3 linked regions of the Oryctolagus cuniculus genome follow. The protein of the gene in region 1 purifies or fractionates together with the protein of each later gene. This does not show direct contact. Links are inferred from orthologs where the notes say so. Each region holds a gene or a part of one and is shown in the gene's direction. Other genes may lie near its edges.

Region 1 (3,775 bases):
TCCCCTTGCTTAAATTTAAAAAGAAGGAGGGGATTGTTTATTATTATTTTTAATGCTCTAGCTTAAGTATAAAATACATTCATTTGTGCCTCAGCATTCCTCATATAGGCTTTAAAATAAATTTCACTTTTTTTTTCTGTTCTACTTTCTGTATAATTACCACCAGAGCAACTGAATCTGAAAGTGTCAATATTTTGTCTTGTCTTTACTGAAGAAAAGAATTGTAGATATAGTCAAGAAAATTCGTGGCACTATGAATTTTCATATCCAAAAATGACAGAAGACTATATATTTTATCAGAAATATTTCCTTAAAACAAGACCTTTATATATGCTGTACTACCTGGAGAGTCAGAAAAAAATTTTATGTTCCTTGTCTTATTTTTTTTTTGTCCAGCTCTAAGAAAATCATTGCTTTTTATTTTCTAAGCCTAACTATATCTAATAGTTTATTATATTTTAGTAAGTCTATGGCCAGCTACAGGTAGACTCTATAATAATTTATAATCTCTAAATAATTTTAAAGTAGTATTATTGAAGCTATCACCTACTTTTATAATACTGAGTTGGAAAACTCTGATATACTTGCAGCATACGTCTAAAGAGTCTCAATGCCAACACAGATATAACTTCCCTGGCACGGAAAGTAGTTGAAGAATGTAAGCTCATTCATCCTTCAAAACTCAATGAGGTAGAACAGCTGTTGTACTATCTACAGAACCGCCGAGACTCATTGTCAGGAAAAGGTAAGAAGAAGAATTCTTACTTTAATGCAAAACCAGAGTAGTTGACTAGAGTTTGTACTTTTGACACTTTTGAAAGTTAGGTAGGATATTTCTTTTACCAATGTTGTGAGTAAGTGAGCAAATGAAATAATAAGCAAAAATATTTGTTTCCAATATGCCAGCCTTTACATTAGATGCTTCCACATAAAATGCTCTAATTTTGTTTTACTTTATATCTGTACATTTAACTGAAATATTAATAAAAAACAAATGTCTGTTTTACTGATTCTAGAATAATTGAAGTAGACAGTGAAGAAAGTGAGAAAAGTGAAGAAGTGAGAAAATTTGGAATCGACAAACCTGTTTCCTTGATCCATCTAAACTTTTGTGTTCAAAATTTTTAAATTACATTTGATTTATAGTTCCAATGGATTAAGTATTTAAAAGTTAAAAATATAAAGATAGAATTTATATGAATATTTCTTAGGAAAATAGCACATTTTCATTCTTCAGTATGTCTATTGCCATTCACCTATCCTGAATTCCTTTAAAGATCCAATCTATTAAGATGATAGAGCTGAGATAATTATTTAGAGAAGACATTGTCAAATAATCTAAATGAAAAAACAAAACCACTTTAATGAAAAGTTGTTCCACATTATCAAATGCCCAGTTATTCCATTTTATAATATTTGCTAAACGTACATATCTTTCAACATTGATGAATTCTGAAATACCGTGCTCTTCAAATATCACGCCATTGCTCAGATTTTGATTGTGGTAAGTAGAGGGGAAATGAAAGGAGATTTTGTTTGGATTTTCTTTTAAAGATTTATTTATTTGAAAGTCAGAGTTACAGAGAGAGACAGACAGATCTTTCATTCACTGGTTCACTCTTCAAATGGCTGCAACATCCACAGCTGGGCCAACCTGCAACCAGGAGCCATCAGTCTTATCTGGGTCTCACACATGGGTAACAAGGGACCAAATGCTCGAGTCATCTTCCCCTGCTCTTTCCAGGCCATCAGCAGGAAGATGAATGGAAAATGGAACAGCCAGGACATAAACTGGCGTCCATATGGGATACAGGTGTCACAGGTGGCATCCTTATCTGCTATGGCACAAGGCCAGCAACTTGGACTTTTGTCAAATTAATCAAGCCCTCTCTTCTTTTACAGAAAATAAATAATTTGTGCATGATATGTATGTAAATTTAGTCCCTAATATAATACTTAATACTTATTGTATGTATTAGTCTCCAATATAATACTTAATACATATCATCATTTTATTAGTCCCCAATATAATGCTTAATACATATCATATTATCATTGTATATGTGTTGAATAAGTTGAATGGCTGTAAATTTATTTAAAAGCAAAATTAGTCATTTTGAACTTGATTCCTTCTACTCACTTAGCTTACACTTCATTTATACTTGTTAATTGTTGATAGTAAGTGCTACCTAGGTCAGGAAATGTAAAGGAATATTTTTTATAAGCAAATATTTTGTGATATTTTGAAATGAAAATGAATGATGAATGATAGTGTCTTCAAATAAATTTAAAGTGAGTAAAGTAAACACAATAGTCCTTAAACTTTGTATATACTTATGTCGCATAATGTACTCAATTGTGACATTTCCTAGTGCCATTTTAATGTAATTATGAAGGCATTTATAGAGAAATATGAATTTCTTTAAACTAGTGAAAACCCTTTCATTCAATTTTCAGAGCAAACAAAAGTTATGTTAGAAAATGAAATTATGCTATTAACCAATTAATTCAATATAATTTAATGACAGCATGTTCGATGCCTTTGGATGTGACTATATTTATTTAGAAATAAATGAGGATTAAATTAGCACATATAGATTTTTGGGTCAGCATTATAGCATAGTAAGTAAAACCTCCGTATGCAATGCCAACACCATTATGGGCACCAATTTATGTCCTGGCTGCTCCACTTCTGATCCAGCTCCCTGCCAATGGTCTGGGAAAGCGGTGGAAGATGGCCTAAGCATTTGAACCTCTCATCCATGTAGGAGGCCCAGATGAAACTCCTGGCTCCTGGCTTTGGCCTGGCACAGCTCTGGCCATTGCAGCTATCTGGGAAGTGACCAAGCAAATGGAAATCTCTGTCTTAATGTAATTCTGACTTTCAAAATAAATAAAATAAACCTTTAAAAATTAGGTTATAAATTTATCAATCAATTATTTTTCAATTTTCACTTTAGTTTTTATTTTACTCAGGTCATATCATTTTCTTTTCTTTATTAATTTTCCTTTCCCAACTTGAACTTGAATTAAGAAGAAAAAAAAGGGATACTTAAAATTGACTCTTTTGCCTTCTGTTGGCAAGTCTTATTGTGTACTCCAAAAGTTAACCAAGGAGGAAGTTAAAATTTCTAACATAAATTGAATATTAGTTATTGATTTTATTCTCATTAGAAAAGATGGGTTATAGATGAGCATTTTTCATACATGAAAACAGATTTCATAAAATATTTTTAATATTCCAAGCTTAGCTAGAGTAAAACTGAGGTGGGTAATAATTACCCCAAAACCTTGAAAACCTAATTCTCTTGATTAAAAAATATCTTCTTACAGAAAAAAAAGAAAAATCAAGCAAGCCTAAAGATCCACCTCCTTTTGAAGGAATGGAGGTAAGACTGTATGTATTCTGATCTAATAGAGTACTGATTATGAAATTGCCTTTTACAAAAAATAATGCATTCAATCACATTAGTCAGAAGTGGAATTTTAACTTGTTGAAGTTAGAAGACCTGAAAAAGGTAGAAGTCAGTATTTTACTGATAAGCACAAAAGTTAGTGGTTGTACTTTGAAGCATAATTGAATGTTACAATATATTTTGAAATATTGTTAAATATATTGTAATAGATTCAAGTTACTTTGAATTATATGTGAGATACTTTATATTGATAAACAAATTTTAGAGTTTACATATGCTCTATCGTATTATATGGTTTATACTTTTGAATTAGAGTCTTTATACCCTAAAAGCTAATATTCTCCTTTATAAAAAGATAA
Region 2 (3,775 bases), on another chromosome or scaffold:
CAGTTTGATTCATTTAAACTCCGAGCCCCTTGCATTTTTGACTGCACGGCTGCTGTAAGTCCGCGAGGTAAGAGTTTGGTGAGTGTGGTATTAGGAATTGGGAGACTTTGTCACTAGTAAGCTAAGGACCTTTCCCAAGTCCCTGCTTATCTCTTTACCCAGCATGCCAGGCCAAACAAGTGTTACCTTGTGTGTCAGTCTGGGTCCACTGGGAAGGCCAGGAGAGTGGACAGCAATGCTCTGTGTCTGCTGTCTGGATGATGAGACCCCTCCCAGCTTACTAATGCATGATGCTCACGTGGGAGTCAGAAAACAACTCCTGCAGATGGTAGAAGCAGCTCCTGGCCCACTGTGTCGGCCCTCAGCCCAGGGAGTTGCTTGCTTCACTTTCTCCCTGGCTAAGTCTTCTGAGAGCTTGATCCACAGACTGGTTGGGGGCTCCTAGCCACACTCCCACCAGGCCCCTCACCACTGCACCCTGTCCCCAGGAATCAGCAGATGATGAAGCGGCCGGTCTCCGCCGTGGGATACAAGAGGCCATTGAGCCAGCACGCGAGAATGTCCATGATGATCCGTCCGGAGGCCCGATACCGGGTGAGAAGGTTGTCCTTGGCTTTCGTCCTCTCAGAGGGATTCAGACTTGTGTGGGCCCTCAGGCAGCATTTTACTGAGCCATAGAGTGGGAACCCTGCAGAGATACTTAAGGCCTTTATGATAATTACAACCAATGATAGGTAAAGCCGCCGCCTGCAGTGCCGGCATGCCGTATGGGCGCCAGTTTGAGTCCTGGCTGCTCCACTTCTGATCCAGCTCTCTGCTATGGCCTGCGAAGGCAGTACAAGATGGCCCAAGTGCTCGGGCCTCTGGACCCCCATGAGAGACCCAGAAGAAGCTCCTTGCTCTTGGCTTCGGATTGGCTCAGCTCTGGGCGTTACAGCCATCTGGGGAGTGAACCATTGGATGGAAGACCTCTCTCTGTCTCTGCCGCTCCTCTCCTCTCTCTGTGTAACTCTGACCTTCAAATAAATAAATAAATCCTTAAAAAAAAAAGAACCAATGATAAGTATATAACAATAATAATAAATAAAAAGGTAAAATAGAATGAGATTTGGAAAACTGGAACCAGGGAAGGAGGAGCGTACAAATGCTGTTGTTAGTGGCCGTAGCTGTTAACAGTGAGCTTCCGAGTGGCTCCGTGGGAGGAACCTTGATGTCTAGCAACAGGAGATGGACCTGTGCTGAAGAACTTTAGCTATTTCCATGCAACATTACATGTGTCCATCGTGTGGTCACTTAAGATGACACAACAGGACTATTTAACGACCTAAAATATTTTACAATAAAAATGCCATGGGAGAGGCAGGCGCTGGCGTAGCAGTTACGAACCCCTCTGGAGACACCTGCATGCCGTGTGGGAGGCCTTTGGTTTGCGTTCCAGCTCTGCTTCTAATTCCAGCTTCCTGCTAGTGCACTCTCTGGCAGGCAGCAGGTGGCTCAAGCGCTTGGGTCCCTGCCGTCCACGTGGGAGACCTGGATTGAGTCCTGGCTGCCAGCTGCAGCCTGATGTGGGCAGTTGAGGAGTGAAGCAGCAGATAGGAGCGCTCCCTGCATCTCGCTCTTTGTCTCTGCCTCTCAAATAATTATTTTAAAATGCCATAGAAGCTTCTGGCTATAAACACTCACTGTGTGCTAGACTGTACCCAGTGTGGACTGCTCTCTTCCATCTCCTCTGGGCAGTCAGTTCTGTTGCTCTCAGCTCCAGAAGCTGTAAATGGATGAACTCGGGGACACAACCTATAGTTAAGTTGCAAACCAAGTTGAATTGGAAGTGTATATGTGAATTATAAAGTTTGGTATAAAGTGCATCAAAGTGTGAACTGGTTAGTTCTGGTTGGTGGAAGTATATTCAATTTAACTTTTCTTCTTTTTCAAAATTTATTTTTATTTATTTGAAAGGCAGAAAGAACGAGGGAGACAGAAAACTCCTATTTGCTGGTTTACTCTCTAAATGCCAAGGCCAAAGCAGGACCCTCAAACTCAATCCAGGTCTCCCGGTTGGGTGACAGGTCCCCAGCTGCTTGGGCCATCACTTGTTGCCTTTCAGGTGTGCACCTGCAGGAAGCTGAAATCAGAAGCGGAGCTGGGACTCTGCCGTGGACATTCTGGTATGGGATATGTGATCCCAGCAGTAATGTTCACTGCTGCGCCCAAAAGTTGCCCCCTGAGTTTTCCTCTTTTTGTTTCTCTGTATTTTAAAACCATCAACAGGGATCTTGTATTATTTTTATAATGGAAGATTTTCACATAAATTTTTTAAAAATATTTTTTATTTGAAAGACAGAGTTACAGAGAGAGGTAGAGAGAGAGAGAGGTCTTCCATTGGCTGGTTCACTCCCCAGATGGCTGCAACGGCCAGAGCTGCGCCGATCCGAAGCCAGGAACCAGGAGCTTCCTCCGGATCTCCCATGTGGGTGCAGGGGCCCAAGGACTTGGGCCATCTTCTACTGCTTTCCCAGGCCACAGCAGAGAGCTGGATCAGAAGTGGAGCAGCCAGGACTCAAACCGGCGCCCATATGGGATGCCAGTGCCTCAGGCCAGGGCATTAACCCGCTGTGCCACAGCACCGGCCCCTAACATAAAATTTTAAAAATGTTTTTTAATCTCCTTTGGTGGCCAGAGCAAAACACATTAGTTAATTTCTCAGGTGCCATTCTTCCAGGCCCCAAGTTATTTAAAAGAAAGCAAAAACAAAAAAAGATTTATTAGGTGGGGTATGTATTGTAGAAGACTAGGTAGGTGTCGGAATGCTCAGAGGCGTTTTTCTAGCAGTTTCACATGGGCGTATCTTGCCAGTCATTTCATGGCTGCAGCCAGAAACGTGACTTTGAAGCCCACAAGTCCAGTCCTATGTGGCTTTCTGGGACTGACCTAATCCAGAGGTGGACTTTCTTTATTTTTTTAAAAGATTTATTTATTTATTTATTTGAAAGGCAGAGAGAGAGAGATTTTCTATCCGCTGGTTCATTCCCCAGATGGCTGCAATGGCCAGAGCTTCACCGATCCGAAGCCAGGAGCCAGGAGCTTCTTTTGGGTCTCCCATGTGGTGCAGGGGCCCAAGGGTGGCCATCTTTTACTGCTTTTCCAGGCCACAGCAAAGAGCTGGATCGGAAGTGGAGCAGCCAGGACTCGAACTGGCGCCCCTATGGGATGCCGGCGCTGCAGGCGGCAGCTTTACCTGCTGCGCTATAGCGCCGGCCCTCAAAGGTGGACTTTAAAGCTGTGACTGTCAGGTGTTCTCAGAGTGGACCTGCTTCATCAGGGAGGGTTTTATGCATGGGCTTAGCATCTAAAACTGATCAGTGGAGTCACTGCCTCTGCCCACCTTTCTCCTGCAGCGGCCCCTCCCGCCCCTGTGGAGCCCCGGGGCCAGGCCCCACTGAGAAAAGCCAGAGGAGAAGGTCGCATGCGTAGTCATGGGTGCTCTTCCCTCAGTATGCTTGTCTCAGTGTCCAGGAAAGGCTCACCACAGGATGTCTCCACAGCCAAGCCTGAGGCAGGGCCAATCTGATTTTAGTACTTATTGTAACATTTTTTATTCATTTATTTGAAAGTCAGAGAGCAGACAGTGATCTCCTGTCTGCTGGTTCACTCCGCAGATGTCCACGACAGCTAGGGCTGAGCCACGGCTAAAGCCAGGAGCCAGGACTCAGTCCTGTGGGTGGGAAGGACTGAAGTCCTGAGCCCCTGCCTGCTGCCTCCCTGGTGTGCACTGGCC
Region 3 (3,775 bases), on another chromosome or scaffold:
AAAAAGGTCAGACCCAAAGTTCCCTTCAGTCTGAGCATCTCTGGTGCGGATGGCAGGTCGGGGCCACCGGCTCAGTGAAGGGGCACAGGGCAGCCCTCTGAGTGGCCGGGCCAGATTCCCAGTGGGTGGGGCAGCAGCGGGCAGCTCGGGCCGGGCTCCCCAGCGTCCTCAGGGCCCAGCCTGTGGACCGGAGCCCCTTTGCAGCCCCGAGCAGCCTCTGAGCTGCCTGTGTCCCCACCCAGCTCTACGCCAAGCTGCAGGCGGTGAAGGCGGAGATCCAGGACCAGCACGACGAGTACATCCGCGTGCGGCAGGACCTGGAGGAGGCGCAGAACGAGCAGACCCGGGAACTGAAGCTCAAGTAGGGGCCCCCGCTGCTCCCCACTGCTCTGGGTCCCCTGCCAGATGCTTCTTTTTCCCAGAGGCCCCCTTCTGACGGTGCCCTCACGCCCAGGTCCATGTGGAAGGAGTGAGGTGTGCCTGAGAGACAGGGACAGGCCCACCTCTGCAGCTTCCGCCATCTCTGCTGTCTGCATCTGTTGAGCCCCAGTGCATGCTGGGTGCTGGCCCCACACCTTCAACCTTTGCATTCAGTGTGTTTTTTAAGACGTTAAGGACCCCTTCCCCCAGCTCTTTTGGTTTCCCACCTTCTCCGCTCCTTGCTCTGACCCTTCAGCCCCCAGGCCCTAGGCAGCCTTGCACTGCCGTCTGCATCCCCACCTCTGTCCCGCCTGCAGGTACCTGATCATCGAGAATTTCATCCCCCCCGAGGAGAAGAACAAGATCATGAACCGCCTTTTCCTGGACTGCGAGGAGGAGCAGTGGAAGTTCCAGCCGCTGGTGCCAGCTGGAGCGTGAGTCCCCTACCTGGTGTCCACCCAGGGCTTGGCAGGCTTGGCCTGGGGCTGCTCAGGGGCCTGAGGCCCAGCCTGCAGGGAGACAGGTGTTGTGTGGCAGGGGGAAGAGCTAGGGAGGACGCAGCTGGAGGACGCTTGGGACCCAGTGTGCAGGGATCTCCATGCAGGAGGGGTGTTCTGTAAAAAGAAATGAGATGCACTGGCCTGGGGTGCAGGTGCCAAACACAGCAACTGTAGCTAGCATGTACCGAGCCCTACTGTGTGTCAGGTACTGCATGAGATCCTGCAGACGGCTCGCAGTCCAGTGGGAATACAGAGAAGTAACTGGATCGTGACATGGCAGAGGTGCCATGCAGCCTCTCCAGCCGGTTTCAGCTGGGTGAGTCAGCATTTCCACCTGTTTCCGCGTCCTAGCGCTGATGGGCAGCTGCGTCCATTGGCTGGGTGTGCAGTGCCCTCTGCTGGTGGCCTTGAATAGCAAGCCAATAGGCTATTCAAGCCCAGCGGAGGTACTGCCTCCCCCAGCTGAGCCACTGTCCGCTTCAGAGGCTGGACAGCAAGGCGCTTCTGGAAGATGCTTCGCTCTCCCTATCCTAGGACTGCCAAGCTAGGGCACAAGTCCCCAAATCTGGGATGGGAAGCTGGCAAGAGGTCTGGAGCTTCTCATGGGAGCACTGGATGCCTGCTTAATCCAGTTCCTGAAAGGCTGAGCCACCGTGACCCTGCACAGGTGTGTAAGGGCCAAGTCCACCGGTAGAGGACTTTCCACTGCTGTCATCTTGGACTCAAACCCGCCTTCCTAACCAAAGCAGGGACTCAGCCGTACGCCGTGTGCTGCAGAGCTCCTCACCCTGGCCACAGCCAGAACTGCCCGTGAGGCGGGGCTACAGACAGCCTCACTTGCAGGCTCTTGCTACATCTCAGGGCTCATGGTTTGTGGTTTCCTCCTGCTCAAGGCGTCCAGGTGACTGCCGCGAGGCCAGGCTTCGACCCCACTGCTGCAGTGCGGCTTGCTAGAGGCGGATGCTGGTGGGGTTTCTGCTCTGTTGGTTATCTGGTGCTCATGCAAGTGCCTGGCTTGCAAGCTTGCAGGTGGGGGAAATTTTTTTACATTGGTTGTAGTCATGCCATCAGTATGCTGAGTGTCAGATGGGGTGAGAGGCGAGGCTGTAAGGTGACTTTTTTTTTAAGATTGATTTTTATTTATTTGGAAGACAAAGTGAGAGAGAGAAAGAGAGAGGAGAAAATCTTCATGCACTGGTTCACTCCTCAAATGGTCTGAATAGCTAAAGCTGGGCCAGACTGAAACCAGGAGCCAAGAGCTTTATCCGGGTCTCCCACATGAGTGGCAGAGGCCCAAGTATTTGGACCTCCCCTCCACTGCTTTCCCAGGCACAATAGCAGGGAGCTGAATCAGAAGGAGCAGCTGGGACTTGAACTCATGCCTATGTGAGATGCTGGCATCACAGGTGGTGGCTTAGCCCAGTGCCACAACTCTGGCCCAACATTCTTTTTTTTTTTTTTTTTAACATTTTAATTTGAAACGTAAGAATAATACAAAGAGGGGCCAGAATTGTGGTGCAGTAGGTTAAGCCACTGCTTGTGATGCAGGCAGTCCATATTATGGTACTGGCTGCTCTGCTTCTGATCCCTTTCCTTGCTAATACCCATGGGAAAGCAATAGTGTACTTAGGCCCTGCCACCCAGATGGCATTCCTGGCTCCTGACTTCAGCCTGGCTTAGATGTGGCTGTTGAGGCCATTTGAGAAGTGAACTAGCAGGTGGACTCTCTCTCTCTCTCTCAAATAATTAAATCTTAAAAAAAAAAGTTCTGGGGCTTGTGTGGCTCAGCTGGTGTGGCTGTCACCTGGCATGTGTGCTTCCCATATGAGTACTGCTTTGAGTTTTGACAGCTCCACTTCTGACCCAGCTTCCTGCTAATGCGCCTGGGAAAGCAGTGGAAGATGGTCCAAGTGCTTGGGTCCCTGCTACCCATGCGGGAGACCCAGAAGAAGCTCCCACTTCCTGGCTTTGGCCTGGCCCAGCCCCAGCTATTGTGGCCATTTGGGGAGTGAACCAGCAAATGGAAGCTATCTCTTCCTCTCTCTCTCTCTCTCTCTCTCTCTTTCTCTCTCTCTCTCTCTCTCTCTGTTTCCCCCTCTCCGTATAACTCTGCCTTTCAAAGTAAACAAATGAATAAATCTTAAAAAAAAAAAAATAGTACAAAGAATTTCTTTGAGCCCTTCATCAAATTGTTAACACTTTTGCAACATTATTAATTCTTCCCTTACTGCCCCCCCCCCCATCATTTGGCATTGAGTCGTGGACCGCCTGGCCCCTTGCCTGCATTTCCTGAGAATGAAGACGCTCTTTTAGGTCACTGCAGTGCAATAATCCACTTCAGGGGATGGGGATTCTAGAATAACATAGTGTGAGTTTACTTTTAATTTTTGTCTGTTCCCCAACAATGTCCTTTGTGATAATCCCCTCTTCCCCATTGTCGTGTTTCTTCATGCCTCTTTTTTTTCTTTTAAGTTTTATTTATTTATTTGGAAGGCAGAGTTAGAAAGAGAGAGAGAGAGATCTTCCATCTGCTGGTTCACTCCCCAAATGGCTAGAACATCCAGGGCTGGGCCGTACTGAAGCCAGGAGCCAGGACCCAGGAGCTTCATCTGGGGCTCCCATGTGGGTGCAGTGGGCCCGAGCACTTGGGCTATTGCTGCTGCTTTCCCAGGTGGATTAGCAGGGAGCTGGATTGGAAATGAAGCAGCTAGGACACAAATCAGCACCCATGTGCGATGCCAGCACTGCAGATGGTGGCTTTACCCACTATACCACAACACTGGCCCCAGAGAAGGGGCGTCGATTTGAGATTCGCAGTTATGTGCTCTCTGGAAGAGTTTCTTCCTTTCTCAGAA

What was found. The genes of interacting proteins can lie anywhere in the genome.
Region 2: the proteins of KIFAP3 (region 1) and KIF3B purify together in Homo sapiens (co-immunoprecipitation; 7 studies listed by BioGRID and IntAct, counting the BioPlex papers as one, with this or other methods). This does not show direct contact. The link is inferred for Oryctolagus cuniculus from reciprocal best matches to the Homo sapiens genes KIFAP3 and KIF3B.
Region 3: the proteins of KIFAP3 (region 1) and KIF3C purify together in Homo sapiens (co-immunoprecipitation; 3 studies listed by BioGRID and IntAct, counting the BioPlex papers as one, with this or other methods). This does not show direct contact. The link is inferred for Oryctolagus cuniculus from reciprocal best matches to the Homo sapiens genes KIFAP3 and KIF3C.

The regions. Positions count from the first base shown.
Region 1 is NC_091438.1:27,937,763-27,941,537, reverse strand, and holds part of KIFAP3 (kinesin-associated protein 3), read left to right. Parts: intron 1-590; coding exon 591-745; intron 746-3,333; coding exon 3,334-3,389; intron 3,390-3,775. UniProt on the Homo sapiens protein: Involved in tethering the chromosomes to the spindle pole and in chromosome movement. Binds to the tail domain of the KIF3A/KIF3B heterodimer to form a heterotrimeric KIF3 complex and may regulate the membrane binding of this complex.
Region 2 is NC_091442.1:25,496,152-25,499,926, reverse strand, and holds part of KIF3B (kinesin-like protein KIF3B), read left to right. Parts: intron 1-488; coding exon 489-594; intron 595-3,775. UniProt on the Homo sapiens protein: Microtubule-based molecular motor that transport intracellular cargos, such as vesicles, organelles and protein complexes. Uses ATP hydrolysis to generate force to bind and move along the microtubule. Plays a role in cilia formation.
Region 3 is NC_091433.1:176,830,318-176,834,092, forward strand, and holds part of KIF3C (kinesin-like protein KIF3C), read left to right. Parts: intron 1-242; coding exon 243-361; intron 362-737; coding exon 738-854; intron 855-1,125; coding exon of another isoform or gene 1,126-1,192; exon of another isoform or gene 1,193-3,775.